Mytilus edulis: one gene and its partner. The protein of the gene in region 1 interacts with the protein of each later gene in a pairwise test. Links are inferred from orthologs where the notes say so. Each region holds a gene or a part of one and is shown in the gene's direction. Other genes may lie near its edges.

What was found.
Region 2: the proteins of serine/threonine-protein kinase 3-like (region 1) and small ribosomal subunit protein uS10 interact in a two-hybrid assay, tested with the Drosophila melanogaster proteins (2 studies listed by BioGRID). The link is inferred for Mytilus edulis from reciprocal best matches to the Drosophila melanogaster genes hpo and RpS20.

The regions. Positions count from the first base shown.
Region 1 is NC_092355.1:58,082,819-58,099,078, reverse strand, and holds the start of serine/threonine-protein kinase 3-like, read left to right. Parts: upstream 1-9,249; 5' UTR 9,250-9,379; coding exon 9,380-9,393; intron 9,394-14,373; coding exon 14,374-14,454; intron 14,455-15,903; coding exon 15,904-16,084; intron 16,085-16,260. Other genes in the region: endoribonuclease LACTB2-like, read right to left, coding at 2,249-2,470, 3,245-3,347, 4,415-4,535, 6,055-6,218, 8,881-9,017. UniProt on the Drosophila melanogaster protein: Plays a key role in the Hippo/SWH (Sav/Wts/Hpo) signaling pathway, a signaling pathway that plays a pivotal role in organ size control and tumor suppression by restricting proliferation and promoting apoptosis.
Region 2 is NC_092344.1:106,804,749-106,821,419, reverse strand, and holds the start of small ribosomal subunit protein uS10, read left to right. Parts: upstream 1-9,720; 5' UTR 9,721-9,738; coding exon 9,739-9,741; exon of another isoform or gene 9,742-9,879; coding exon of another isoform or gene 9,880-9,882; intron 9,883-15,098; coding exon 15,099-15,195; intron 15,196-15,599; exon of another isoform or gene 15,600-15,794; intron 15,795-16,671. Other genes in the region: transmembrane 9 superfamily member 4-like, read right to left, coding at 267-310, 819-921, 3,470-3,559, 9,344-9,400.

The DNA.
Region 1 (16,260 bases):
TATTTGACAAGTTGACACCATCAAATCATTTAGGGAAGTTGCCAGAGTACAAATTCTATATTTACAGATTTCACCTCTTAGGTCCGAGAACACAATTAATTCGTAGTGCATTTCTTTTAGAACATAAATGAAAATAAAAAAAATCCCACCTGCGCTTTCTCAAAGAAACTTTTACAGTGTGTTGTACTACTTTTGGGACAAATTATATCAAATTTATAGAAAACTTCATCGCCTCTAACTCAAAATATGGCCAATTTTATGTTTAGGGCGTCTTGAAATCTTTTGACAGCTTCCGAAGTGCTCATTTTCAACCTTTTTCAGCTGGACCAAATCACTACTTTCCTTTAAAATTCTGGACCCAAATTTTTTTACAGTGTAATTTCAACCCCCTTCTTGCAATTTGAGGCAGTGAACATGGAGAAATAAATTTGGAAGGGGTATAAAAATTAATGGCAAGTAACCCACTGTCAACACTAGGGACTATATTTGTGAACAACGAAAATCAAGGGACGACAATGGTGGTCTCGGACCAGGATCGGAATTTGAAATACTGCTAAAAAGAGAATTGACAAAAATAAACACAAAAAAAAACCCAGTTCTGTTATTTTCATGTTATTTTCAAAGTCAACACAGTGTTCTCCCCAGAAATTTTGGATAGCATCACATTTTGCGTAAAAAAATAACTGCATTTTTTTTTAATGTCATTTGTCGCGTCGCGTTGATGCTCTATTTCCTTTATATGTTTTAGTTTATATTGTTCAATTGATAACTGAGAATACAATTAAACTATAACAACAAAAACAGTTGTTTCAGTTTATGTTTTCTTTATTCATTTATAGTTACAGAATTATTTTTTTGCTCTTGTGTCAAATAAAAATAAATATGTGCTTTCAGTTACCCAACAATAAGTCAAATGAATGAATGGTTCATTATAGTGCAACCTGTATATATACAAAACTGAATATCTAGTACACAAAATTAACTATTTTTTTATATTATATTAAGTTAAGATAAAGTAGCAAAAAAAATATCAATTTAAAAACTTTTTTTTATCATGTTTATGAAATTCATTGTTTCATGGCACTGAATGAATTAGTCCCTGTTGTTTCTTATCTTTACATCAAAATGATACGTATTTTTAACAAAGTTATCTAACAAATAGTCTATTAATGCGTAGTTTTCTCTATTGGTATATCTTTTCTGTCTACCGTCCTTCTGTTGTCATTATCGTGAAAATGCGGATTTTTGTCGTATCTGGTCCGGTTCCGATCCGTAGTTTACACAAAAATGTGCAATGGCGGCCATAGAAAAATATACGAAAATGAGTCCGAGAATAAACAGTTTGACTAGAGATTGTGAATGAATAAGACGCCTTTAATGCATTAAATGAATTAAACATAAACTTAAGCCAATCATGATCACTTTTTAAAGAAGTATGTATAAAACTTATTTTAGCTGAAAACCGAAAACGACCTTTTAACAAAAAAAATAAATCGTTTTACTCTTTGAAATTTCGTAATACAAAACACAGATTTCGAATTGTTTTTGTGATTGCATTTTTCCATGTCGAAATTGGTGATTGCAGACACGTGGTATTAGTCATGTCACAAGTGTCAGCTTGGGATATTCGCATCAAAACAGTTATCACCATCAGGGCAATTAACACCTGGCTATTTAATCTCTTAATTGCCTTTAAAGTCCGACTTAAAGGGATTACAATTACAGGTGATATAATTTTTATGATCATAATCGATAATAGATGAAAGTTCAAAATTGAGGACAAGTTAAATAGCAACTTCAAAATAATTATAGCGTCGCAGGAATAATTATAGCGTCACGGGTATAATTATAGCGTTGCGGGGAATTATTATAGCATCACAGTGAAAATTATATGTACCGCGACGCTAAAACGGCCTGGGGAGAACACTGTCAACAGATTATTTTTAAGACAAATAGAGTTATTTGGATCAAAAGTCACAAAAATTGGCAAGTCTGAACAGATACTAGATTAATACTGCACCTTGCACAAGTTATGTAGTTTTCTTGACAAGTATTACATCATTTTGCAACTTGAATATCCAAGCATATATATTTCAATGATGTATTTCTGGGAATGTTCAATGATCCAATGATTAAAATGTTATGATCAATGCACTATATTTTGTGGATTCCTAAAGTAGTGATAAACCATGGAGGATTTAGAAATAAAGTCAGTACCATGCAATCTTTACCCAAAAATCAAACTGACCGTGTATATTTTCTCTACTAACTCCTCGGCTGTCATTGGTTGATTTAGTTCTTTCAGACAATGTAAAATCTGTTGTTCTCTGTTCATCCTGTGAGCTATGTATTCTTTTAATTTGTCAGTAGGATCATTGATCACTGAACCGTGAGAAGGGTAGATTACTGATGGGTTCAGTTCAAGTATTTTCGATAGAGATCCCATGTAGGTCTGTAGATCTTCAAATACCTATAAATAGATATTTATTTAATTTAGGTTCTTGTTAATCTAGGTACTTCTACTATTTATTGGATAACAAAGATTCAAAAGTTGGCAAAAATTATTTGTATAATATGTGACATTCCAAACTTCACTTATTTCACACTTAAATAAATTCAGTTACAAGTATTTCATCCATAAAATCTAAGATTGATATCCAAAAAGTTTGAAGATACATAAGCTATTCCAATTTGAATGAAATTACTAAACTTGACTGACAAATGTGCATGGTACCCTTAACTACCTTAATTTCTGATTATAAAATACTGGTACCCTTAACATTATCTTATCAGCATCTGATATGATGCATATCGATAGTATCAACGTTACATAAAATTGTTTTACCTTTTCAATTGATTTCATTCACATGAGGCTAACAGAGAAAGGCAATCAATTTCACTATATTGATTGTTGCTTTATTTTCCTCTATAGATAAATTATAACGCAGAATTCGTCTATAAGGGTGTATAATTACAGTATGCAGGTCTAAATGAAATAGACTTTATGCTTTTACAGGTGATACCTTCTGCGTAAAACTAGTATAGGCAGTTGTTTTTAACTCACAAAGACATAATTCCAGGGAAAACCTTATAAGAGATAATTCAACTAAAACCATCTGTTATCTGTTTTTCAAAATATTAAACTTAACAGTATACATACTCTCAAGAAAATAGGCCCTTTTATTGTTAGAAAATAAATTAAACAAGATGCAATTCTCCTGTCATTCATTGTTATTATACATACTGCAGTTGTCTCCCCTAGTATGGTATCACCAGAAAACACAGCATTCTCTTCCTCAAGGTACAGCGCCATGTGTTCTTCAGTATGACCTGGTGTATGTATAGCTCTGAAATACATAAATTAACTTTCAGTTTTAAATCATCATAATTCATTCTCTAATATAATACACTTCTTTGCAAACAAAACAAATCTGTTGAATGGACATAAATCAAGAAATGCATATACATGACAAATCCATGCATTATTGATAACTTCATATCTATTCTAAGAGTAATATTATTTTTTTTAACTTTCACAATTATTTTTTACATTTGCAGTAAAGGATCAAAATGACAATAAAACAAGCCTTTTCGTTCAACAACTTGTAATTGGCCAATTAAAGCTTTATTAACCTTAAACTGTGTTTTGTTTGCAGATAATAGTAATCCCAATTAAATTGAGCATCATTTATTTCTTGACCATGGGGATTAAGATCTTTACATGTTTGTACAAATGTATAGTACGGACACTTGCCTATTCAATATTGGCAGGGTCGTAGCCAGGAATTTCCAAAGGGGGGTTATTTGGCCTCAAAAACTCGACTTTAACAGTCACAATTCGAACAGAACGTTGACTTTAACAGTCATTAATTGTTTTCAAGGGGGGGTTCTTCCGAACCCCCCCTGGCTACAGGTATGATTGTTGATTGATTTTTTGGCACTTCAAGCACTTTTGGCTATATGTTATGGACAGGAGCCAGTTTTCATTGGTGGAGGAAGAAGTAGAGTCCATGAAGAACCACAAACTTTTGGCAGATCAGTAGCAATCATTAAGTCACAAATAAGGTTTGAGTCGTACACACCTGCCACTAGCATGAATCAGTATCATTGTTGAAGGTAGCATGTTAAAGTAGAGAGGTCTTTGTTGGTTTAATTGTGATATTTGGCTGCAGCACCGTTAAACCCACATCTCATTTCGTGTATAGCAATGACCAATATACTTGCATTGAGGTGAGAGTTGTTTTACTCCTAGATGATGGCCTCACTGTGACTTTGAAATGAAGAACAGCAATGAAAATGCTGTTTCTTTTCATTTTTTTTTTGCTATGTATGAACTGATTTTGTGTCAAGACATGACAGATACTTCATATCCTTTGTTTTTTCTATTATATACCTCAACACACAACCAACACACCTTAAAGTAGCCCCCTCTGTTTTAAACACTGTGTTGTTTTCCACAAATGTATACTTTGCTGGAGAGATGTCTAGATCCTGTTGAGATAATCTTTGGAATTTTGATACAATGGTCTCTTGAGCTGTGAATATAAAATAAAAAGACACATATTACTCAATAATAGGGTGGATGGATGGAGTGGTGTTTCAAGTCCTGCTGTAAATATTGCATGCATTCAAGGACAAGATCATGTATAGTGTAGTCAATCAGGGGTAATGTTTGGTTTAGTCTAAACATATTTCATATTGTTCAAAATGGACAAATGGATTAGACACACGTTTTTCAACTTTGTAACATCTTTTCCAAAATACCTATACATATTTATTTACTTAAAGATACAAGTAATGTTCTGGTCAGAGACCACAATTATTTCGTAGTGCATTTCTTTTAGAACATAAATGAAATATAAAAAATCCCACCTGCGCTTTCTCAATTAAATTTTTACAGTGTGTTGTACTACTTTTGGGACAAATTATATCAAAATTATAGAAAACTTCATCAGCTCTAACTCAAAATATGGACAATTTTATATTTAGGGCGTCTTGAAATCTTTTGACAGCTTCCAAAGTGCTAATTTTTAACCTTTTTCAGCTGGACCAAATCACTACTTTCCTTTAAAATTCTGGACCCAAATTTTTTTACAGTGTAATTTCACCTCCCTACTTGCAATTTGAGGCATAAAACATGGAGAAATAAATTTGGAAGGGGTATAAAAAACATTGGCAAGTAACCCACTGTCAACACTAGGGACTATATTCGTGAACAACGAAAATCAAAGGACGACAATTGTGGTCTCGGACCTTCTCTTACATAAGTAAACTACGATATGATTTTATTTTCAAGCTTTGAATAATCTCCTTTGATCTCCACCAAAATTAACTTATATATACAAGTTATTTGTTTTTACAACACCTTAATATCCACCTTTATCTCAAAAACTCAGCAAGGAAAGCTATTAAACATGTAGATAATAATTAATTGTGCAAAGTCTTGAAAATTGCTTGCTAAAGGCATGTAAAAGAGTTTTTTTTTTTTTTAAATGACCTACTAATATGACATTTTTATTGTTAACATGGTTGATGGAATTATACATTTTATAAATAGCAATGACAATTATACACTGACTGTATACTAGAGCAATGTAGTCAAAATAAGACATTCTTATTTACATTTTGGTTAAAAATAAAATCTTTATGTCTTTTAAAGGGATATAACTCTACACCTCCAAAATAATGTATCTGCATGTAACAGTAAATCAAAAAACATTTGAACAAAGATTAATCCTGACTGACAACTAGTACATTGTTGTAGCTGTAAATTAACCTAGTTAATTTTTACTTTGATATCCTTACTTGCTTCAAATCGTTCTTGTTTTTTTCACTTTCCCAGAACCGTAACTGATCCAGAAATGTTCATAAAAGAGGTAAGGTTGCGCTCCAGTCATGATTCAGTGATTCCCTATATAAATAACCAAATTTTCGCCTCAGAAAAAGGTGCTGCCACCTGAAAACCCTCTAAATCCACCTCTTCAGAAGGCATGTATTATATATTTATTATTTTCTTTTTTTAGAGATTAAATATAACATTTGTATAATAATTACATTTTGTGACTTGGTTACATACATCAGGAACACTACCACAATGGTCAGCATGCCAATGAGTTATAATTATTTCCTGTATGCCACATTTGTGTTGTGATAGGACATTCTGTAAATTCTTGATGTAATCAGGTGTTCCTGTGTCTGTGGTATCCAACAATATTCTCCTAAAATTATATATATAAAATCAAATGTATGTGATGAGGGATATGTAAACGAGACAAAAATATTACAAAGATATAATATAAAGATCAACATATACAGTCAGGGGACTTATTGAAATAAGTGATTTTTAAATCACTTATTTGAGTAGCAAATTCGAAGTTTTGTCACAAAACGTGATTTTGTAGTTTTAGTAAAAAAAAATTAACACATAGGTTTAAATAATATCTTTTCATTAGTAAAATGAAAAAAAAAAACTTTTTGCTTCTTTTTAGTAGTAAGGTTATGCCTTTGATGCTGTCATTTAGCTGCAAATTCTATTTTAGTTGAAACAAGACTTAGAGGCTGTCACAACGACAGCAAACCGGATTTATTAACATTTAATTTTGTGTCCTGGCAATATCACAAGAACCATAACTGATGAACGGTGAAAGTGAAAATCGTCAATGTCAAATTTGACCTCAATTCTGTCATCAGTATCAACATATTAAAATTTGAAAAGCTTAGGTTGAATGGTTCATGTGTAAATGCAACAATATGAATTAGTGGGGGTCATCAAAATAGTGATACTTATTCAAGAAGTGAATTTTGGGAGGGAAATTGCATGAGATATGATACTTAAACAAGTCATTTTTATCTCACTATCCTAGATTCAGTACAAGGTCATCACCTGACATGACCTGGTCATCCTATCAGTGCAGATGTTGGTTCTGATAAGTTTATAAACATATTTAGTCCCTGGATCAGTATTGTATATTTAAAGCTACATGTACATGTACATAAAATTAAATCACTTCTTCTAGTAATTAATTTGTACTACTTAAATAGGTGATTATTAGAGAAAGACAACTCTCACTTCCAACTTTTATGGAAATAATATTACTTGAATCAGTGATTTAGAAAATCACTCATTTAGGTAAGTCCCCTTACTGATATATATGCTTTGCTGAAAAGGATCAATTCTATTTTCTGTTTTAATAACCTTTCATGATCCTCCTGAATGGAAATGCTTCTGTGGTAATAATTATAATTGGCATAAATTTTATAAATTAATATACATGTTAAATAGAACCATTTTGGTTTTTTGGGGGGTTAAGGTTGCAATAAACAGTTAGGAAAAAATACTAAAATTTGCCCTCATAAATTTTACCATCCCCTTTTCATTGCTTTCTTGCAAAATTAGTTACATGTATATATAAGCTTGTAAACTGTTTGTGTTATATATGTGCATACATGTATGTAGTCAGAATCCTTCATAGATTTTATATCCAGAATATAAAATGGTAAAATATAATTTCTTTTGGGTGTATCCATGGCAACAATCTGCATTTATTTGCTATAAAATATTGCAAAAAGGGGGAAAGATGTCACATATATATATCTCCCCAAAATTTGGCTAAAAGTAGAATTTCAATCGCTTAAAGTAATACCTTTTCTTAAACTGTGTACATATATCATTCAGTAAATCCAATGAAAATCATATGTCTTTCATCTCATTTTTTTGTAAAATTGCATCAGAAACTTCGTGTAGAAAAAAAATGTTTGTAAATATTACATTAGTTTCTGAACCGATGGCCAGTCTTAAGCTATGAAAATATGGATTGTCATACAGAAAATAGCCCATTAAACGTGTAAAAAATAATTTTAATGCTCTTATAAACCATCTTTGAAGGCTAAGTTAGTACTCAGCTGTCTGAAAATGAATTTTATTACACAATTACATTCCTATTTGAAAAATCCACCAGGGCCAATGCAAACTAAACTCCTAACAGTGTATTGCTACCTAATATCTTCTTGTGTTGAATCTGAGCCTACTACAACACATTAATTTATAGCAGTCTTAGGTTGAATATATGGTAAACGGACAGAAAGTCACAGGACAAAAAGTCACAAATTTGGTAGGACAAAAAGTCACAAATTTGGTAGGACAAAAAGTCACAGGACAAAAAGTCACAAATAATCTGTTGACAATTGTTTGAATATATAAGAGAAATATCTTGCAAAATTTACTTTTTAATACATATATTTATATTAAAGTTTAGGGAATGTGTCATTATACTTGCAAAATGAAGATTTATTTGATGTTAATCATACAAAAGAAAGATTTCTTGGCACCATGAAGCCATTGAAGTGCCAAGCCACTTTGACATTTTGTTTTTTTAACAATTATTTGTTCATCTTTGATATTTTTTTGATAAATTTTGTTTACAAAGTTGGTTTTTATACAATAGTTAAAGAAAATACAAAAATATTTTGTTAAAAATAAGCTTTTTTTATTCATGTTATTCAAAGAAAATAATCAGAAAAAATGCATTTTGACTTTTTGTCCTGTGACTTTTTGTCCGTGACTTTTTGTCTGTGACTATTTGTCTGTGACTTTTTGTCCTGTGACTTTCTGTCCTACATTCTATATATACACACAACTATTTGCCACTGTACATTAAAAGAGACATTCTGAGTTCACACACCTAGGTTCAAATATCATCATGTGCTAGCCCAAGACTCAACTTCAACATGTTCTAGATGTCAGATGTAGAACATCTTTAGGCTAAAGCCAATACTCAGTACTATAGTATAGCCTAGATAAATTATATAATTTTGATGATGATTTTAATATTTGATCATCACTGACATCAAACTGAGTGTAATATTTTATTGAAATTTCACCTGTCACCTTTACCAATCAAGTAGGAATTTGTGCCTTGTAAAGTCATTGGTCTTGCATTGCATCCTAATATTCTGATTACACGTTCTGACAGTTTTTCTATTTGAGGAAGTGGAGCTAATTTCACTGAAGATGCCATTCTTCTATATTTTTTGTTAGATCACATGACAGTCATGTGACCTGGCATTTTGGGTTAAGAATGTATGCTTTGTTGAATGATTTGCTGGTTTAACTAAAAATAAAAATACTATACTAAAATTAATCTTTATTGAGGAAATAGAAAAATAATCAGACAAGGTCGGCATATTGTCGGAAACTTAAAAAATCAATTTAACGTTTGAAAGATGGCACATTGTGGCTAGAGAAAAAGCTTTTCATTGAACACGAACGACTTTCCTGATTTACTTCCGGACAAGACGAAAACATCAGAACTTTCATTGTTTTCACTTTAAAACTTTTTTCCATGAATCCAGACGGATAGTAGACAATTTATTCTTTAAAATGAGTAATCAAAGGTGAGTATCATATATAATTTTACTTCATCAGGTCTGTGATTTCTGAAGAAGATAATAAAACCATCCTTAAAATGATGCTGTCACAAACTAAAAAATAAATAAATAAAACAAATCACTTCAAACAGATACACACACACAGATCCTGTTACATTTTTTCTTCAGAAGTTTCAAGTTAGCATTGTTCTCACTAAGGCGACCCCATGAGTCCTAGACTTATCAAAATCTGTCTGGACTCACCATTTTCAAAACTTGTGAGTCCACAGACAGTGATCTGGAAGGTTTTTTTCACTATGGGCCCAGGGCCCCTCAAAAATAAATTCAATGGGCCATTTTAAAAAATAATGGGCCATGTTGTCAAATGAGTGGGCCATTTGAATTGACCTCTGTAAAAAAAATAAAAAGTATCATTATTTTTTGCCAAAGAGGTGTTGTAACTTATCTTTATGATTTTAAATAATATCATGGATATTGTTCCTGTGATTCTGTAATTTTAATGAATATACAATAACTTCTTGCAAAACGGACAATATTAAAGATAACCTTTATTTACAATGTTTAAACTGGTACTGTTGCCTTGACTTGTTCATGTTTATGTTGGGTTTTTTTTAACAATAAATTTGGGTCTTCGTCGATATCATACTTATTCCAGGCGTTCCGTATTAGAAGACATTTCAGGCACTTCCTCTGCACTTCTTGTATTATTATTATTACTTTATCACGACGACAAGAATAACAGTAGAGAGTACCATTAGTTGATAGAACAAAACAATAATTCGCTGAAGTCATGTTTACAAAATGTCAAAACGAGCCAAAGACCAAAAAACGGCAAGGACAGTTAAGCGCCTTTTATGGAGACAAAAACTATATTCATAAAAAGGCTTCGGGGGTTTTCAATCGAAATAATACAAGGCCGTAACTACCCTTGAGGCAAGTGAGGCAATTGCCTCACTAAAATTTCGACACTGATTAATTTTTTTATACATATATACAAATAAAATAGTCTTTTGTTGTTCTGTCTCAACCTTAATTTCTATAACTTTTCATCATTCCTTTAAACTATTCTTCCTGGATATAACTCAGCATCTCAACGGGTGATGTTTCTCAATTACATTAACCTAGTAACGATAATCATCATGGATCTCTGGTTAAAAACAGGCTCTTGCAGAAAAAGGAAAAGCGACACTGAAGGTAAAGAAGGAATAATTCTAGTAAACTAATTTGTTTGTGAACGTAGTCTGCGTATTGCATATAACTTCATTAGAACAATCAAAAAACGATAAGTAGACTGACAAATCAAGTAGTCGGCATCGCAAGGGGGCAGTCCTGTCTGTGTATTCATTTCTCCGTTTCATCAACTTTAATCTTTCTCTTTACAGATAAATAAAATATAAATAATATGAAACATGCATGGATTAGTTTTTCATGATCCATGTTTCTTTAACCTTAAAAATTGAAAGAACATCCCATATTCCAATTTGACATTATTGAGGAATGGTATAGAACCTTTATCACAGGATTTTGTCTTTACTTATTCGGGACTACGGAATTTCATTTCTTTATATTCGGGGTTTCGGAATCAGACACCCCCAACCCCTAACCCCTAAATTTATAGATTCTGGAACTAAAATACCACCGACTATTTCCAGAAATAATTTGAAATTACGGACCTACATGTAAACGTCAAAACTCCATTTTAATTCCCCTGTACCCATATCATATATACTTACTCTATAGATAGATCATATACATGTATCTTATCCCATTCTATCCCTAGTTTGTTTACTCTTTGTCAGCATACAAGCGAGTTTAATATTTTGTAACTGAGACTGTATGATGATGCTAGCCTTTATAGGAAAGCTTAATTCCCTTTTGCAAACAAAACTGTTACTACCGATGCTGCTACCGAATTGCTGATGGAGAAGGAATTGGAAGAAGACATTGATCATTGTGTTGATGATAATGTGCTACCTTTAGAAACACAGACTGCCCTGAAACGACTGAAATCTAGGAAAAGAGCATACATGAGTGGCGAGAGGTTGTGCGGTCTTGCCATGCTCCATGTTCATCGCGATAAGGATATCAGCAGACCAAAGTTATGATTCTAAAACAATTTGACTGAACCCACCATAGAAATAATTGGCAAACTCTACTGAATCGATGTTTGTTCTATGTTCTGGCGGCAGATTTAAATTGATATTTGGATGATTATCTTACATACAAATTCAAATAAAGTTGTTAAAAATTTGGTATTAGTAAAAGTCTTTAAATATGAACAATTTATATAAAAACTGTCCAAATTCAAAACATTATCAAACTCTCTAAAAATGCCTAGAACGCAGGATTTTGCACCATTCATTCATACCCTCCAAAAAAATTTAACGCCTCGCTTCGCTCGGCTCAATTATTTTGCCTCACTAAAATAAGATGCCTAGTTACGGCCTTGTAATAGCAAGCTAAACTAAATTAAAAGATTATCATTAGAGTTAAATCTCGTCTGTAATAGCCAAATTTCACAAATTTAAAGTTCTTTACAAAAAATTGTATCATGAATGATGGTTAATTACGTTTTTTGGGATATCAGTTAAACTGCATGGTTCTATTATTACCATAGGAAAACACCTGAGACGTTAAACTTCATGGTTCTATTACCATAGGAAAACAACCGAGACGTCCCAAAAATGTATATAGGTGCTCCTATGATTGGAGGAACATTATACAGTTGTGTACACACACATGGCGGCATGCAAACGATCGGAAATCCATTTGACGATATCTAAACGTTTCGAAACGATGTGAAAAATATCGTGCGCCACGTGGGCGCTTACATTTGTCACTCTATGCGCCATTTCTGGTCAATATGCGCTATAGGCGCAGGGCGCACGACCTTCCCGATCACTGCACAGACACAGATGCATCAAGATTGAAATATTTTATAATATGAGGCAGGCATTACCTGTGAAAGGGGACGAAGTCTATGATTTTTTTTTAATTCAAACACATCTTAATTTCAAAACGGAAATACCGTAACGTTTCCGATTTTGGTTCTGTTGTGAGGGATTTTAGTTGTGACGTTATTTTAGTTATGACGTCATATGCAATGTAAACAAAGAAACGCTATCATTAGGTAACGTTTTTTCATATCAAGAAATTATTTAAAATGAAATTGATATTGCGTTTCTTCCTATTCTATACTGGACTGATAAATATGTATTTTACTCAAAATTTCATGCAAACGAGACCGGAAAAAAGGAAGTACATTGTAGATTTCTGCGCAGATGCAGGAATTCAAAACATGACATAAAAAAAAATTGAACGATTTTGAGTTCATTAGTACCCCAAATTTTCCCGATTTTTTTTTTTATTGAATTTTCTACTGTTATTGGGGACTTCGTCCCCATATAAACTGAGCACAGTTAAACAGAAATATCTAAATGGACTCGCCTTAAAAATTCCTTAGCGAGAACCCTGAGTTAGCATGATGTCTCAGTCCAATTTCAGTCCTCTTGTGCTCGTTAGCAGCTTAGAGCTCTGCCTTTATGGCTTTAGATCCAAAGATTGAGGGTTAGATGTTTGGACAGGGTATGGTCATGAGGTTTGACCAGGTCATAAGATGACCGTCACATGTCTAGGTGATAGGCAAGGAACTGGACAGGGTTTCCAAGTGTAATACTTGGGGTTGTACAGTGGTGGACCTGTGAGCTGCTTGGATGGTAGTCCAAATGATAATGACGTCTTGCAAGGCTACATGTATATTAATCATTTTCTGAGGCATCCCTGAAAAAAATTAAGCCTTGCAAGACGTCATAATTATTTGAAATACTTGGATGGATGGTACACAGCCCTGAAAAAGAAAACGAGAAGAGTGTTGTAGACCTCAAGATATAAAGGTAGCCTCTAACAGGGCCTCCGGGTGTGGGAGTTTCTCGCTGCATTGAAGACCCATTGGTGAACTTCGGCTTATGTCTGTCCTATGGTCTGGTTGTTGTCTCTTTGACACATTCCCCATTTCCATTCTCAATTTTAGTTGAGCCAAAGAAGATCTTCCCTAGATTACAGTCCTTATATGAAAAGGAAAAGAGGCCTAATACATGTAGGTCATTTGATCAAAATGGCAAGAGGGGTGCCCATGGTTGGTTTACAACATGGACAACAACAGGATGACCTGCACTATATGGCTGCATTTCACATGGAAAACGTAGTATCAGTGACAATCTAAAAGTAAAAATAAACATCTCTTCTGTGGTCAGGTAGTTGAGCTTGAACCTGTGCAAACTAATAACCAACCAACGAGTCTGTATATAATTATGAACAACCTCAGATACTTCCAAGCTTTAGCTACTGTTACTAGTTTTAGTAAGGATGTTCAGGAAATAAGCATCGAGGACTTGTCTGATAGTAATTCTTGTACTTTAAATTCAGAAATTATTGCAAGGTTTTTATTATTGGAAAATTGTGACAGGGTTATGTTATAATCCCAATAATCTTAAATCTCATTTCGATTTGTTTATATGAATCACACAGGATTTTTCTCAATGTTGCAATAATTAAATTGCATTTTATTCTAAAATGACAAAATCGCAATAACAAACATGATAAATGCACACATAATTCCTGAATTTATAGTACATGTATATCATCATGTAGGGATAATGATTGAGACTATGAGTTAGATTTCGAATTTGACCAAAATGAACCAACCAATGATCATGATGATTATCTTGTGTCAAAAGTACACCTGAGAGGAATTACTTTTGGATCATCATTTTTGTATTAATATAACAGTCAATGACAGTAAACTACGATGTTTGTGAATATGAATAACATATTACAATATAATTTAACCAAATAAAAATGAATTGTTCAAATGACAAAATGAAAGAGTCATTTTATTTTTGAGTGAAAATAAAGGTCTAGTCAACATTTGTTGGGTCCGGCAAAACTTTTATAATATATTGTAATTACTATTGTTGTATATTGTAGTGAGCTGACCAAACTAAGTGATGAAAGTTTAGCCAAACCACCTGATGAAGTATTTGATATTATTTGTAAAATAGGAAGAGGGTAGGAATATATAGCAATTATATAAACTACTTAAATGTGTCAATAAACTAAACATGCTAAAGATTGGGCCACACTTAATAATATTGTGGTTTGTCCAAACTCTACCCAAACATTGAGAAAGTGGGTAGGTACATACATGACATATGTAGGTAGGCATTTTCTTTTTTTTTTTTTTGGCAGAGAGAAATGTAAGCACTAGACATGTTAAATGGGTACAAGTCTTCATGTCTATCTGAATAAAAAAAAGATTTTGAGTACACAGCTACAATGTATTTTCTGGGTAGGTCAATGTAGAGGGGGGATAGGACCTTTATCGGGACTCCGGGATCGGGTGTTTTAAAACTCGGGATTTCGGGATCCGGGAATCCTTTTTTTTGGATTTCAGGATGTCGGGATTTGCTTTATTTAAATTCGGAACCTCGGGATTTCGTTTTTTTTTAAGTCCGGGATTTCGGGATCAAGACCCCTCCTATCCCCCCTCGTCAATGTAGGTAGGGTAAGGGAAAACACACCTATTCTTCTTTATGTCCTTGATTGTAATTGTTGGCTGAACGTCTAGTGGTAAATAGATATAGGAAGGTGTGGTATGAGGGCTAATGAGACAACTCTCCATTCAAGTAACAATTCATAAAAAGTAAACTATTATTTATATATAATTATTATAGTTCAAGCTACGATCTTCAACATGGAGTCTTGGCTCACCCTAAACAGCAAGCTATAAAGCGTCCCAAAAAATTACTATAGTAAAACCATTCAAACAGGAAAACCAACATTTTGTGAAAATATGTTATTCTATACATGATATATATATTCCAGACGAGAACAAATTGAACATTTATTTCAAATAGGTACCTTTCGCAAAATTCAACGAAGGGAATTCTTAAGTGTTCTTTTTGTAATAGCATGAATACATAGAATAGGCACTCCAAAAAATTGAAATTGAATATATCTTATAAATTTATTTGATGCATGGGTCTTTTAACAATTTGAATCAAAAGTTAGTTTAGATGAATAATGAATTTGACATTGTTTTGATGTGTTGTAACTTGTAGAACTTGTACAAATGTTATTTGTGTGCCTTTTTCCTGTACATATATAATTACTTAGCATGACAGCTCAATCTTCAATTTTAATTTTGATCGTCTATTAAAAAGAAACAACACATTTTAAGTTTCAAAGCTTTCATTGATGTCTTTAGGTGTTATAGTGTTCAAATTAGGAATGACTTCATTTTGTGTGTATATATAACAAAGAAGATGTTGTATATATGATTGCCAATGAGACAACTCTCCACAAGAGACCAAATGACACAGGTTTTTAAGAACTATAGGTCACTGTATGGCCTTTAACAATGAACAAAGCCTGCAAAGTCAGCTGATTAAAGCCCTCAAAAAGACAAATGGTAAACAATTCGAACGAGAAAACTAATTATACTTTGTTTTGTAACAGGTCTTATGGCAGTGTGTATAAAGCCCTCCATAAAGAATCCGGTCAGGTTCTGGCCATCAAACAGGTACCAGTGGATACTGATCTACAGGAAATCATTAAAGAAATATCCATAATGCAACAGTGTGATAGTCCATACATAGTTAAATATTATGGAAGTTATTTCAAAAACACAGACTTATGGGTAAGTTTTTGCAGAGTTTGTCATGTTATAATCTTCAAGATTTGAAAATCAAAAGACTCAACCCTGCACTTTGCTTAAAGACACCAAATAAAAAACAGTTAGAATATATTACCGGTAAGTAGGTATATGAATTTAGGCCACAATTAAAAAAAATTTGGTTTGCCCAAACCCTACCC
Region 2 (16,671 bases), on another chromosome or scaffold:
ATACTAGAAGCTGTATAATTGTTAAAGCTCAAAGCATACCTCTAACATGAACCGTTATTAATAATCTTATCATGCTTAATCCAATATAATCCATGTAATCTTGTCTGACATTAAATTAAGATTTTTTCTAAATCTTTCTCCTTATCAAAACATTTCAACACAGTTTTTCTGTTCATCTATCTGGTATATTCTTTGTTTTCTGTCATGTTTTATCTTATCTTATAAAATAATTATATTTGTATCCAGCTGTTAGAAGTCATACTTACTTTGTAGGGAGTATTTACAATTCTGTCTCCTCTAAGAACTTCACCTAAAAACAGAAAATAACAACAGTCAACAGTATTTAATGTTTTCATTCGGAAGACAGGAAAACCCTATCAAAGATTACTAAATATTTTTCTCTACAATTTGCATTTCCCGATTTTGTGTGATTTCCTTCCTCTAAGCTGATCAATGTATACATCATTTTTTGTAGAGGCATACATTTTCATGGGTACATTACTAATTTTTGGATTAAAGAAGCATTGTTTTATTGTAAATATTTGATTTTGGGTTTTTTTCGGAATTTTGTTGAAAATTTAATAAGTGGTTTACCTATACCCATGAAATCAACAAAACAGAGTGTACTTAAAACTTTGTTTAATAGCTATAGTCATGTTAGTTTATCTGACAATCTGAGATGACAATTTACCTTTTTTTTCATAACCATTATTTGACCTACAATACAGGTTGTTAAAATGTATTTTTTCATAATGAAATATGTTCACTGAATTATACTACAAATCATATGCTTATGTACATGTATATATGACTTTTACCTAGATTTTCTGCTTTATAGTCTTTTCCGCCTATAGGTACACAGAATGGTGATGAATAGTAGTCAAAGGGCAGCTGTGTTTTTACACTGGTCATTTTGACAGCCTGCAAATTAAAATCAATATCATTATAGTGAAAAATAGTTTTATTAAACTAAAAGTGCGAGTGTTCTCACAAACAGATATCCCCATCCAGCAATACTATTAGTTTTATACAACATATTACAATTATAATGTAAGTAAGTTAGTTTGAATACCTTCCCTATGTCATGTAGGATGAGGATTATATTCATGTATCATGACTATGAACAGCCCAGGCCACAATTAAAAATATTTCAGTTTGCCCAAACCCGACCCATGATGACTGGGTGTGGGTAGGTAGGTAGGCAAATTCTTTTTTTTTTTTTATCCGAATTTGCATGAAAATATTAAAAGATCTTAAAACAGTATATCTTTTTTTCTCTGTCAAACCTTTGTAGAGACAACCAATAGCCATGAATTTAAAACCTCTATAAATAAATTAGTCTACTATATGATTTGTTTCCTGAGATGTTTATAACCCTGACAATTGCTAACTGTGTGAAAGGGCTGTTGGATTTGTTAAGTGATTTTCAACAGTTCCATCAACACGATGTTTGTGTAAAAAAAAATTAAGCTGATTATGTAATGATTAAATTAGTTTGCAGTTTTTAAATCCTATTTCTATTAAAATAGATTAAATGTCCTAAAATATTTATATGAATTATTATCTACCATCCTTAGTTTGTGTCTTTTTTATGTTTTGAAAACAAATTTATATTTTACATTATCACACAGGTAAACTAATTTGGCTATAAATAGATCAAAGCATGTTCTGTAGAATCTCTAAACTAAAAACGTATTTTTATAATTTTATTTCTTTAAATAATCAAGTTTAAATTTTTGAAAATAATCATTATTGATAAAATTTAATTGCATAAAGCAAGGACGTAACAACTAATATACGTCCTTGCATAAAGTTAACGTTTTCTGAAGACTTTATTTTTAGGTCATGGTTCTAGGGGCTTCCTCACAAATTGTATAAAAATCCAATATGGCGTCCATAACATGTTTTTACTTTTGCACATGTGAAAAAATATTTGACAAAAGTCAGATTTCTCTTGTCAAAAGGGATTTATATTTATATTGCAATAAATTATTCAGAAGGAGTTACATTCAGTTAAGATTATATTTCCGATTCTGTGAGCAATTATAGTTTTATCAAATTCTCCCAAACAGCAACGTACTGACTGTCTAATGAGACTTGTAAATTTGAACTATTTGAATAAAAGGACATCTAATTTACACCATAAAGGAAGATTATAATTAAAGACAACAATTTAACAAGAAATAATTCCTTTTTATTCAGTAAAAACAAAATCTTCTTGCAAGATTGTAAATTCGCAACTTCCGGATCCATTTCCTGTCAGAATAACATTGAAAATATTTGATTGCACATGGTTTTGAACAAATCTACCTGAATATTCTTATCAGATATTCGATAACACGATGAAATTAACATTGAGCATATAGGTAAGGGTTTGGTAGTACAAACAACTACAGCGTAAAAAAACTGTGCCACTTCACTTGTTTTACTTCTTTACGTTCGTTAAATCAGAAGATAAATACAGAGAACATCGAATATCGATTAACTGCGTCTCTTATATGCTTTCTTTTAATCTTATTCACAATTACTTTCAAACGCAAAGACGACAAACATTAAGTTTTGTACGATGACGGAGCGGACCCAAAAAAAATCCGAAAAAAAAAAATTCTTCCAAAAAACGTCAAAAAAAGAATTTGAGTCGGCGGGTTTATTTTGGGTCGGTCGCGTTTGGGCAAACATACAATCTTTTTATTTTGGCCCCAAGGTAGTGTTTTACAATTAATAGTGTCATCAATAATCATTTAGCCCATCCATTTGTAATGAAAAAGTGCATGCAAGACATTTTGGACAGACAGATACTTTTATGGGGATAAAACTATTGTTCATAAGTTAATATTGAACAGAAGCTAAGAAAATGAAACAATTTGAGTCATTTTAGAGTCAAAACAAACCACTTAAAATTTCATCATAAAACTGTTATCGGCCATTATGACAAAAGTGTGTCAGAAATCATATCTGATATTCTTCCTCAGTCATAATAACCTTCCATCATTACTGAACTGAACAAAGAAATAACACGGCAGGTGCCGTATACGTTGCAGGAAATGCTTACCCTTCCAGAGCACCTGATTTCACTCCCAGTTTTTAGTGGAGTTCATGTTGTTTCTTATTTATTATTTATAACTGTTGATGTAAATGTCCCTTGGTTTTGTTAGTCTTTGTTTACTCCTTGGTTTTGATTGTTATTGTCTTTTAATCCAAGGCTTTTTTTTGTTTCCCCAAACTTTTTAATGGTTTTTAATGACATGAATAATTGCAGCAGAGGTAATAAATTATTTACCACATTTTGAACAAAAAATATTAAAGACTGGTAAATAGGCATCCTGAGGTGAAATATAACAAAATGTTTCAATTCTTTATTAGTAGTGAGTTTAATAAATGAAATTTGGGTTTCTCCACTGTAATAAGGTATCCCACAGGAAAGAATGGTTTTAGAATCTTTATATTCATACTGTTAAGAATGTCTTACCCTAACTTCTACTGCTTCTTCTCTGTTAAATTCTACAGGTGCTACTCCTGGTACATAGAATCCATTACAGTAAGTAGCCATGATAACAACCTGGAATTAGAACAAAATAATTTTACAGAGTGTGAATCTGTCATTATCATTTTTCATCAACCAAGTTGTGAGCCAAATAAACATATTGATACTTTGGTATATAGCTGGATTTGGTCTCCAAATGACCTAAGATCTGCTCTGAATAATCTTCTGACAGCAAGCAACAATTAAATTCTAATTATGATGTCAGATTTTTTAAATTGTGATGTCAAATTTTATGGGAACTTGTGTGATTTTAAGAAATGATGTACAAATTTGCATACAAGTGTAAAAATGTCTATAGTTTGTTGAATAAGCACTGAAGAAACATGTATCTGATAATCTGTAAATTGGAAATAGAAAATTGACCACTTTAAGAGTTCATTGCAATTCAGTCATAATTTTTTGTCTCAATAACATCTTTTATGTGTTTATGGGCATCTACATCAGTCTGTACCCAAACAATTTGAAAGCACAAGCCCTATGGGCTAGTTAAAAAAAAAATACTAGCCCAAAGTTATATGTACTAGACCGAATAAAAGTTGTGTCACCGGTGAGGATCACCAAGTGATCTGAACCAACTAGGCCACAATTAAAAATATTTCAGTTTGCCCAAACCCGACCCATGATGACTGGGTGTGGGTAGGTAGGTAGGCAAATTCTTTTTTTTTTTTTTTTTTTTTTCTGAATTTGCATGATAATATTAAAAGATCTTAAAACAGTATATCTTTTTTTTCTCTGTCAAACCTTTATAGAGACAGCCAAAAGCCATGAATTTAAAACCTCTATAAATAAATTAGTTTACTATATGATTTGTATCCTGAAATGTTTATAACCCTGACAGTTGCTAACTGTGTGAAAGGGCTGTTGGATTTGTGAAGTGATTTTCAACAGTTCCATCAACACGATGTTTGTGTAAAAAAAATATCAGCTGATTATGTATCTACCATTATGTAATGATTAAATTTGTTTGCAGTTTTTTAAATCCTATTTCTATTAAAATAGATTAAATGTTATAAAATATTTATATGAATTCTTAGTTTGTGTCTTTATTATGTTTTAAATTTTTTTTTATATTTTACATTATCACACAGGTAAACTAATTTGGCTATAAATAGATCAAAACATGTTCTGTAGAATCTCCAAACTAAAAACGTATTTGTTATAATTTTATTTCTTTAAATAATCAAGTTTAAATTTTTGAAAATAATCATTATTGATAAAATATAATTGCATAAAGTTAACGTTTTCTGAAGACTTTATTTTTAGGACATGGTTCTAGAGGCTTCCTCACAAATTGTATAAAAATCCAATATGGCGTCCATAATTTGCACATGTGAAAAAATATTTCTGACAAAAGTCAGATTTCTCTTGTCAAAAGGGATTTATATTTATATTGCAATAAATTATTCAGAAGGAGTTACAATCAGTTAAGATTATATTTCTGATTCTGTGAGCAATTATAGTTTTATCAAATTCTCCCAAACTGCAACGTACTGACTGTCTAACGAGACTTGTAAATTTGAACTATTTGAATAAAAGGGCATCTAATTTACATGATAAAGGAAGAATTTATCAAGAAATAATTCCTTTTTATTCAATAAAAACAAAATCTTGCAAGATTGTAAATTCGCAACTTCCGGATCCATTTCCTGTCAGAATAACATTGAAAATATTCGATTGCACATGGTTTTGAACAAATCTACCTGAATATTCTTATCAGATATTCGATAACACGATGAAATTAACATTGAGCATATAGCTAAGGGTTTGGTAGTACAAACAACTACAGCGTAAAAAAACTGTGCCACTTCACTTGTTTTACTTCTTTACGTTCGTTAAATCAGAAGATAAATACAGAGAACATCGAATATCGATTAACTGCGTCTCTTATATGCTTTCTTTTAATCTTATTCACAATTACTTTCAAACGCAAAGACGACAAACATTAAGTTTTGTACGATGACGGAGTGGACCCAATATAAATCTGAAAAAAAAAAATTCTTCCAAAAAACGTCAAAAAAAGAATTTGAGTCGGCGGGTTTATTTTGGGTCGGTCGCGTTTGGGCAAACATACAATCTTTTAATTTTGGCCCTAGAGGGGTTTGGGGGCATGCCTCCCATCGAAAAAATTTGGATTAGATGTAAAATCCTGCATTCTGAGGTTACACTTTTGTATCTGGAAGTGTATATAACATGTATAACTTGTCAAAAATGTAGTTTTTTTCTCCATGTATTGTAATATAAAAAATTCTACTTTCCTTCAATAAAAACCTTCTCAAAACTGTTTACAAGACGGTTTAAGACTCTTTTCTTTGAATTTCAGACAAACATGTAGATATAAACCCCTTGCCATCATATTTTAGTTTAAATTAATTTCTCATTCAAATTATTTAACTTTTGAAAGTTAAAAAGATCATCCTTTCTGATGCAGACCAAGAAAAGAAGAAAGTTTGTATCAATAGGTTACAATTTTTCCTTCATAAATGCCTGGCCCTTTTCCATGCTCCTTACAGTAGCTACAGAACATTGCTTGATTCTTGTACTGGAGCCAGGGACGACCGTATGTCCAACCGGTTTTTAATTCTCGGACGCGTTTATTCTCATACTTTTTCTGAGCCTCTGTAACTCGGTCAGACATGTGAAACGGCCTTTTTGGTGCATTTCCAGGTCTTGCACTATCTAACCACCTCAACAGTGAAGCCATATAACAATGTGTGGGACTAATGAATTGATTGTAAAAATTATGTGTACACTTCTGAAATGAAATGAAAAGTGCTGGTACCACTTCTTCATAAAATTAACGGTAACCAGTCATGGAAGTCGTCCTAATAACAAATTGTCTAAAATACATAAGATGTCAAGCAGGCAGTTACAAATTAATGTCTTCCGACGCCAATATGTACAATTTTTTTTAATTTTCTGTTACGATCATATTTTATTTATTCAATGCAACACAAATTACCAAAATTTGACTTTTTGAAAACATGTGGTACTGACCGTTTTCGCGCTTTTTATTTTTAATTTAAACAAACCTCCATAACGACATTTAATTTTTAGTGATATCAGTAAGGCAGTGTGTGAAACCTTTTTTTCTTGGAACTCGCCAAATTGAAATCCTACTTGCCAGCTAATTAACAAGTTACTAAAATTTTGAACTTGTTATACCAGGGATCTCCATGGATGAAAATTGAACGATGGAGGAACTTTCACCATCATAAACTGTATCTACGCCGTACAGCGTAGCGCGATTGAAAGTAATTCATTCCTCCACATAAGGATAGGTGAAGATGCTAATTCATTGCTTATTTAAATTATATTTATTTGAATTTTCATTATAAATACTATATAAAAGTATATATATTTTCAATAATTGCCGTTTGTAATTCTTCAAAGGCCCCCTCCCTTTCCCTTAGTCGAGAATGACCAATAGCTATCACAAAGGTCCCCATGTAGTTTTCTTGCTATTTTTGGTAATTGTTATGGGGTTAAAATTCATGTGGAGCTTATTTTTCACGGACATTGTCAAATTCAGAATTCATGAACCCATTACCGGTATGGCTGGTTTGCAGCAACGACAAAACGAGTCATACGGGTTATGTAAAAGGTTAAAAAGATTTGTAAAGCAACGTTGTCAAATGAAAAGGTTTTTAATGACTTATCTAGCAAATAGATGCTATTCAACATGCATCTTTCGAGTCTGAATAGAAACCGGAAACGCGGATGTATCAATTTGATTGTAAACTACGAAATGAATTCGGAATTACGATACGATATTTATTTACAGGAAATATTAAAAGTTTTTACTTTTCAACTTTTAAAGTAATTCTATATTTTTGTTACAGTACAGCAAAACTCGAGTTATTTGCGATGAAATAATAATGACTATTTTACGTCTTATTTTGTACTTCTTAAAAAGGGGGATGCTGATTGCGTAAGTCAAAATAAAAGCATGTGTTCTACTTGTTAAACTTTGTAACTGGACTAATAATTTATTTATTTAATCTGAATTATCATAAGCATTTGCGGAAACTTAATTAAATAATTTGACAAATGAATCGTCTATCTTCAGATAATATTCTCCTGTCTGCTTTGTTTGATCTACCTGTACAAGCTTAGGTACAAGTGATTAGCGATCTTAATTCAGATATCCCTCAGGTGTTAGAACTGGATTATACTATAAAGAAAGCCTGAAGGTTATGCAATTACATGCATTTGATTATAATTGCTAAAAAAATGGCATCAGGCTATAAAAACGATCACAGTTTTGAACGATGGCGCAAGACATTTGAACGATGGCGCAAGACATTTGAACGATGGCGCAAGTCATTTGACAATGGCGCAAGAAATTTGAACGATGGCGGGGCGCCATCGTTAAACAGGCCATGGAGATCCCTGCATACATTATGGTATGTTATAAACATTTTCTGGAAGTATCTGTGATTTCCTTTTCTCTTGACAGTAGTGTGTTTTACTATTTTCAGTGGCTTCTTATTGGCATTATAATCATAATTAGGATATTTGGCCACCTGATGTTAAAATTTAGCTAATGTGATGCAAAAAAATAGCTGAAAATTACCGACTGAAAATGGTATTCATACCCACATAATTTTTAATTAGACTTGCTGTCATTATGAAATTGACAAAACAACACTATCTGCATAATAACAATCGTGAAGACACTTGATGAACTTAAAACAATTTTACAATGAATCATGCGATCAGATATTCGTTTGAATGATATTTTACCACTGCAAACTTTAATCCAAAATCAAAATAAGCTTTCATGTTGAGTTTTTTTTATCAACTCTACCGTGTAAATAAACAGAAGATAAATGAAGAAGACAAGCTCAATCTTTATATAAAACTAGAACACACCCGTGATATTGCGGGTCCGTGACTGAATTAAAGTATATAACTATGCACAAGCATTATTTGAGTATTAGTATTGTCATCTGATAAAGTCATGCTGATTATAAGATACACAGTTTTCTATGCTTTCAAATCTTTCTGTTTGAACCCGTCGAACTGGAACTTTAATCAATTATTGGTAATATTAATCATTTGAAAAACAAAAGGTCCTGGAATGGAGTATTTTTTAATCAACAGCATTGTCCTATATTAGTTATAAATAAAGTTGAATTCTTTGATTCGCTGTTTTACGTCATGCCCGCTAACAAATTGAAAACTGTACCTATACGCCTTATTTTTAGTCCAGATTTTTAGTATTCGTATTGTTATCTTAGAAAGTCATACTGATTAAAATACTACAAAAGGTAACAATTGGACAATTTAGTAGTGTCAACCCTGTGATTATGACCCGCATATATAGCATATTAATCCTGAATACACCGTTTGTTGGTGCGCCTGTCAGATGCGGAACGTACAGATAAGGTAATAGGTAACAGGTGAATATACTATTGGTATCGGACTCGACCCGGAACTTCTTAATTATTGGCAATATTAATTACGTGGGAAAACAAAAGGGCCTGGAGTGGTGTAATTTTTAATCTACACCTTAGTACTATATTAGTTATATATAAAGTTGAATTCTTTGATCCGTCGTTTTTACGTGATGACGGCTGACAAATTGGACCTCGTAATTTTACTATTATAGATATGTAACTTAGAAACCGGATCATAATGAATGATGTTTTGTCAAAACAGGTGATAGGATTTGTCGTGCATAAGCGCCCACCAATGCAAAAAGTCATTGTTATAAAGCATCAAAGTAATGAGAGTATTGATATGAAGATAATATGTGTGCAAGGAGTTTTTCCGGAATAATTTTAATGGAAGTCTTACGCCGACAAGAAGAAGTGTCATTTTCGTCGCCATTTTGCCTGCTAAACGTGGAATCATAACGTCACTTCCCCTTTATTTTGATAAAAAAAATATAAACTTAAAAATTTATTTTACACGTAAATTTTGAATACCATTTTCTGTTTGCAAATATTTCATATACGTATATATGATTAAACGTCAATCAACATTTAACTCCAGTTTCACTTTTATTAATCCGAAACTATACAGATTGTTCCAAGTCTAAAATGGGGAAATAAGACAGTGAAAATTTTAGATAATTTTAATTTTTGTATTGACCAGTCAACTTCACATTACGATATCATTATTTTTATGAAAGATTATAAGATACGTTTAAAGGGAATACAAAATGTATTTGTTGAATCAATAGACATCAGATGGTAAAAATAATATTTCCCCATTATTAATTAATCAACTACCCCAACAACCATGTGCTTTCTTTTCTGAAAAACTGCCTGGTAGCTGGAAGTGTTTGGCTCACCTCTGTTTAAAGATTCTTTAATTAAGTCGGCCAGAAAATGGTACTACTATTCAGTTTTCAGAATGTTATATATATTACAATATGAATGATAAATGATCGCTGAAAGTATGAAGATGTTGGTTGAATTCACCATACTTTCTCTGACTTGACACAAAATTATACCTATAATTATAAATGGCTATATGATATATCCCTACATAGGTATCCATAGGTATTAGTCCAAATAATTATGACGTCTTGAAATTCTATTATAATTTTTTTCTTTATGCCTTAGTAAGACGTCATAATTATTTTGACTACCATAGGTATATATATGTATTTCTTGTTTCATTTAAATCAAAACAAATTTTTTTTTTATACTTTTTGTTTCATATCAATATGTTAATAATTAATGATTATAATTATTCTGCTGTTATTTTTTGGTGGCGTGATTGGAAAAAAAAATATTTGTAAAATTAACATAAAAAGTAGTCCAAATCAGGGTTTGACACTAACATTAGAGGTGATGTTAGGTATGGCAAACCAATGGGAGATAACTCCAAATTAACCTAAATAATTGTTCCCAGATGTGTGAAAAATTAAAATCTTTGGGTGACCTCCGATTACGGCCTTCTATTAACTTGGTAAGACTCAGAAGGTTCTGATTGCTTTTGATAGATATTATATGAATATACATGATTTTGTATATTATAATTTTCGGGAATACGATGAAATATTTGAGGTACAAACAAGGGTTTGAAAGTTACATTTGTTTCAAAAAAATACAAGGGAACTTTATACAGCCATAAAATGTATTTATTTATTAAGTTTAATATATTAATTAAATAATTAGGTCCAATAAATAAATCTAGATAGCTGTGTTCATATCAAAATTATTTTTTTATAAATAACCCTTCTTTTTGTGTATACAGAGTTATTTCCCTTGCATGACCAACTTTTGGTTTAGTTTTGATTGGAAATCAGCGGCGATAGGTTTTTTTGGCATTATAATACAGCCAGTTTATTGTGATTCAAAGATAGTTCAAACACTTGCTATTGCACACGAGATAATAAGGATAATGAATAATGTGGTTTAACAACAATCAATGTATGTAGTTTCAACATGTTCAACTAAAAACATACATAGAAATCCATGCAGTAGCGGCAGTTAACTTCGAATGCTATTCACATTCAATGCATTTTGAACTTCAGTCCTGAATGAGATTGGTTTACAGATTTCACTGTATAAATATTGTAACTGATATACAGATATGAATTTACTTTACTTTTATACATATAAGTATTTACAGTGATCTGACATAATTATTTTGTTTGAAATTTCTCGAATAATAATAATGTTCTATTATTTTCATTGTTTTTCAGTGCAACAGGTATTTTAGTCCTGTAGAATAATTGTTAAAAATGTAAAAGATTGTTGTTTATTTTTATTTATAAGCATTTAATATACATGCTACATTGTATATAAGAATAAGAATATTTCATTAAATAGAATGTTAATGAAAAGGGAACATTCTAATACTATCATGACAATACAAAGATGACATATTTCAAAACAATTCTTGTCTCTCATGGTACAACTGACTCTCATGGTACAACTGATTTTTATAGTTCGTTCTTATGTTGTACTGTGACAGGTCAGGGGAAGGATTGGGTGCCTGCTAACATGTTTAACCCCACCACATTCTGTATGTATGTGCCTGTCCAAAGTCAGGATCGGAGCCTGTAATTCAGTGGTTGTCGTTTGTTGATGTGTTAAATATTTGTTTTTCGTTCATTTGTTGTACATAAATTAGGCCTAGTTTTCTCGTTTGAATTGTTTTACATTTGTCATTTCGGGGCCTTTTATAGCTGACTATGCGGTATGGGCTTTGTTCATTATTGAAGGCCGTACGGTGACCTATAGTTATTTATTTCTGTGCCATTTGGTCTCTTGTGGAGAGTTGTCTCATTGGCAATCATACCACATCTTCTTTTTTATACACACACACACAATTAAACATTTACATTTGTATATAAAGAGTAATATTCATATTTATATTTTGTTTCTTTACATTCAAATGTTTATAAAGTTTTACTTTACATTTTCAATATACCAACTGATGCTCTGAAAAAAGGAATATATAAAGGTACCGTCATGTTACGTGACTTTGGACGATAGAATTTCATGAGAGTGGTTGACATTTTCATGCTTTAGGCTTCTATTTTGACCAAAAAACTTAATATGGAGGATTGAAATTGACTAACAAGATGTAAAAGAAGCAATATAAACAAAACTATAACCAAAATGATTAAAAAAATATATTTTATTATTTTTAAAGAGAGGAAACAGTTTTTCCAGAATAGTAAAAATTTCCATTTTGAAAATATTCTATTTCTTCGTTGTTATTATGTATATTGATAAAAGTGAAACTGTTTTGAAAATGTCTTCACAATGCCTTTAAAATGAGGTAAAGTTTTCTTAGATCAGTTGATTTAAAAAAAAAAACACTTTCTGTACCTAGTGATGTAGTCCACAGGACTACCAAGGAAAAATTTGGGGTAGTCCTGGTAGTCCACCTCTATCACCGGTGAGGGCCGCGTTGCGGCCCGAACTAGCTAGGGGGGTTTGGGGGCATGCCCCCCCCAAGAAAATTTTTCGAAATTATATGCAATTTCCTGCCATCTGAGCACCTCAAAAGCTCACAAATGTTCATTTGAGTTTTGAAAATATTTTTTTTTTTTCAGATAAATTAAAGTTGACATTCAGTGAATAAATTTTATTACTCCTGAACTTTTACCATCAGAAAATTTTGAAAAACGAAATGCAAAATCTGCAATCTGAGACAATTTCTAAGGCCTTGTTAGGTGGAGTTATTTGACCTTTTATTCCAGGATTATTTAGAAAAAAAGGATAAAAATAAGTCAAAAGTTTTCATTAATTCTTCAAACAGTTTATAAGATTTTTCTTGTAGTGATGTAAAAGGTGATTTCTGGACGGTCAAATAATAACAAGTCCATTTCATCTTAGTCTAGGGTTCTTTATTCAACAATGATGTAATCATAGAATTATTATTAACCCAGTCTGTGGAACTGAGTTTAATAACTAACATCGACAGTCTACACAATACTAACAGTAACGATCTTCATACTTCTACAGTAATAGTAACAGAGGTTCACATCAAATATGGTTCATATAAAGTCATGATGTCCTGTTCCAGAATGAATTCCATCACTATACTAATCCATAGAAATTATGGAGCTACTAATCAATCACAATATAAAGTCTATGAGCACAAAGTGCATCAAAACATACAAATATATCAGGATCACAACAAAGACATCAATCCTCCATTACTGTTTTCAAAACTACCACCAAAACTGGGGGCAAGGCTTAATAAACCAATCAGAATACAAGAAAACCTAAACACTCTAGTGAACAGTGAGTACTGATAGAAAAATCAATAATAGGTAAATGCTACAAGGTAAACAGTTAGATTTTATGGATCAATGAATAATCAATAGGCAATCAATAGAATAAAGGTAAACTTAAGTAAACTACTCTGCAAATGAAAGAATATAATTAATGGTGTGTCGGAATAACCTATAAAACATATAAAATATATAAATGATTAATATGATAAAAATCCACACTACCACAGTGATACAAAGTCTTTGTTTGTGAACTAGAGGTCAACTTCATCATCACTGTTGAAAGCAATTCAGTGGATATGTTGCTAAAACAAAATGCCTTTAATACCATTATGAATGACATGCATATATGGTTTTTTTTTTAATAAGAAAGCCACCAAAAATATTGTTGGCTTTTTTTCAAACTAACTCTTCCTATTTCTTTTTTTGGGGGTAATAATTTGTTTATCCAAATTTGGGAAGTATTTTTTTTTTATCTCTGACACCTACGTTTTTATTGCTGACCTTTGCTGTCTATTCTGCAGTTTCTTCACATTTTGGTTATCAGACATTTTCATTTTACATTGAAAATCCCATGTGTTACAAACACTGTGAAGATTCTGATCAGAAATCTGGATATCAAAAGTGCTTTCATAATAACAATATAAAATTTACGTTCTTCCAAATGCCATCACTGTCATCACTGTCTTTGAATAATGTAAACATAATTGGGAGGACTTTTATGCCAATTTTTAGCATTGAAATAGCCAGACCATATACAAATTTCCAGGTGGTCCACAGGACTACTGATTAACCATGTTTTGGTAGTCCTCCTAGATTTTAGGGAGGCACCGGACTACCGTTAGTGTCGAACCCTGCAAATAATTATGACGTCTTGAAAGGCTATTATAATTTTTTTCTTTGACACCTTACTTCGAAGTAAGGTGTCAAAGAAAAAAAATTATAATAGCTTTTAAGACGTCATAATTATTTGGACTACATAAAAAGATGGTTGTGAATCCATTCATATCATTGTCATTGAATGATTGATGGACAATACACTACAAAAGTATTTTACAAGGTTTGCTTGCATGAGGGTAGGAATGGCCTGTAGCACCAGGCATGAAACTGTAATTTTTGGCTACTGCAATAGTCGTAAGTGTAAAATTGGTTAAAATTTTCTGATTTGTCAAATAATGCTTGGGCCAAAAAAAAGTATGTTCATTTTTATTTGGCAGCATTTTCCTTTGATTTTATTATTATTTCGGCCAAATCTTGTATATTTGCTCAATGTAAAGTTGGAAGAACTGCTGACCGACCCTACTAATTAAACATGAAAATTTTATTGCAGTAAAAGTTGTAAATGCTGTGACAATAAAAACAGGTTAAAAAAAATTACACAATAGATCATAATCACAAGATGAAATATATATAATGAAAATGACATAAACTATAGTTGCCTTCAGCTGAAATTCATAGCAGTTATCGGTAAAAATAATCTACTATCAATCGCGTTCACTCGAGATATAGTATTTCACATTCCATTCATAAATCGTTGAAAGAAAACCACTACTGACCTACCTTTAAAGTGATCGCACTAATAATCCTGACCTTCACATTTTCCAGAATGTTTTCCATTGTAAATCCACCATCTTCGTTTCTATGAGGATCTGATGTTTACATGTCACTTTCGGAGTTTCCTGTAATATTCTTGTTGTGTTGTTAGTTTCCCGCGCGTAGTGCAAATTTTCTAAACTCAACTCCACGGAAACACTTCCGATAAAAACAATGGCTGATTCCACCAATCAAAATTGTCTTGGAAAATTGAGACCAATACATGCATGTTTTAATATGTTTTATTTTTTTCAGTCATACAAGGAAGGGAAAGCCCCTGCATCTGAGGAGGCAACAATTCACAGAATTAGAATCACTCTTACAAGCAGAAATGTCAAAAGTCTAGAAAAAGGTAAAGTACTTTTACATGTTCTAGAAAAGACAATCGCTGTTTTCCACTACTCTTGCATTGCAACAACCTCATTAAATATTACTCTTTGCAAAATAATTGTCTTTCTTTCTTGCTAATCATATTCATTAGTTAATTTTTATGTTATGAATTATATAGGTTAGCAACTATAGGTCACTGTATGGCATTCTATAATCCGCAAAACCCATTCTTCAAATCAAGCTACAAATCAATAGTTTTCCTGCTTTCTCTAAACTTGTGCGAGAAGTGTATTGCGATCGGTATAAAACAAGAAGATGTGGTTTGATTGCCAAAGAGTCAACATATACAGAAGCTGAAATGATTTCAGATATTTCATGAGTGAAGAAAGAACAGTTTGTGCCAAAATAGTTGCAGATTATTTTAAAAACACACTCCTTAGATCCACCTTTGGGACAAAGTCATGGATGCTTGAAGTGACAATGTCCAACAACTTCATTGTTGTACCATCGAAGGTGCTTGAGTCATTGGTGTGTTATATCAGTATACCTCAGACTGCAGACTTGGGACTGTTGCAGATCTAAAGATCACTATGGCAACAGTTGGCTGTTTTCTGGGACACGACTATTTTTATAAAATTTAAACATTCAAATGTTATGCAATTTTTTTAATAAGAGAAGAACTTTAAAATCTGAGAGAGAATTGTTTTCCACAAATATTTATCTTGTGTGTGTTGTTGATAACTATACATGAAAGATTTATTATTTTCATGGAATAAATGTTTAATTAGAAATTGATCACTTTGGAAATCATCTAGTGTAGTCCAATATTCATATGTACATGTAATACATTGCAAAAGTGTCTAAATAGAATATTGATTTTCAAGTTATTTCCAATTCTTAATTCAGAAGTGTCGACAATTTGAAACATAATTTTACCCGATAGCTTGTTGGTAGGACCTCTGTACTTGGTCACCATATGTTAGTACATTAACACTTTCCTTACTGAATTGTTTTTTTTTAGCGACGTTGTGTGACCTGATCAAATTTCCGCGCGCAGTTTGCCTGGCCTGAATTAATTTGACGTGTGAATGGGAAAAAAATGACGTTTTAATAAAAACGTGTGTATCTTTGTTGTTTCTCATCAAATCGGTTTCAAACTCGATATTGTTACACTTAAGTATGAAAGGAGTGTTGCAATATAAATAAATTTACATGACAATACCTACTTTTGATTTTTTTTTAACCTTTTGTGGAAAGAAAATGACGTTTGATTTGAGAAATCTATTTTTTGTTGTGACCGGTTTATATTTTTGCCTCCGATCTTCTAAATTAACAATACAAATGGTAATTAACAATTTCGAGTGTTCCTTTATCATAGTTTTATAGAAAAAAATAACTCCAGAGTCAAAATTCTAGCTTATTAGTCAGAATAAATACGAATAAAAATGGTTTGACAAATTCCGCGGCGGCCATTTTTTTACCTGTACAATGCAATCAC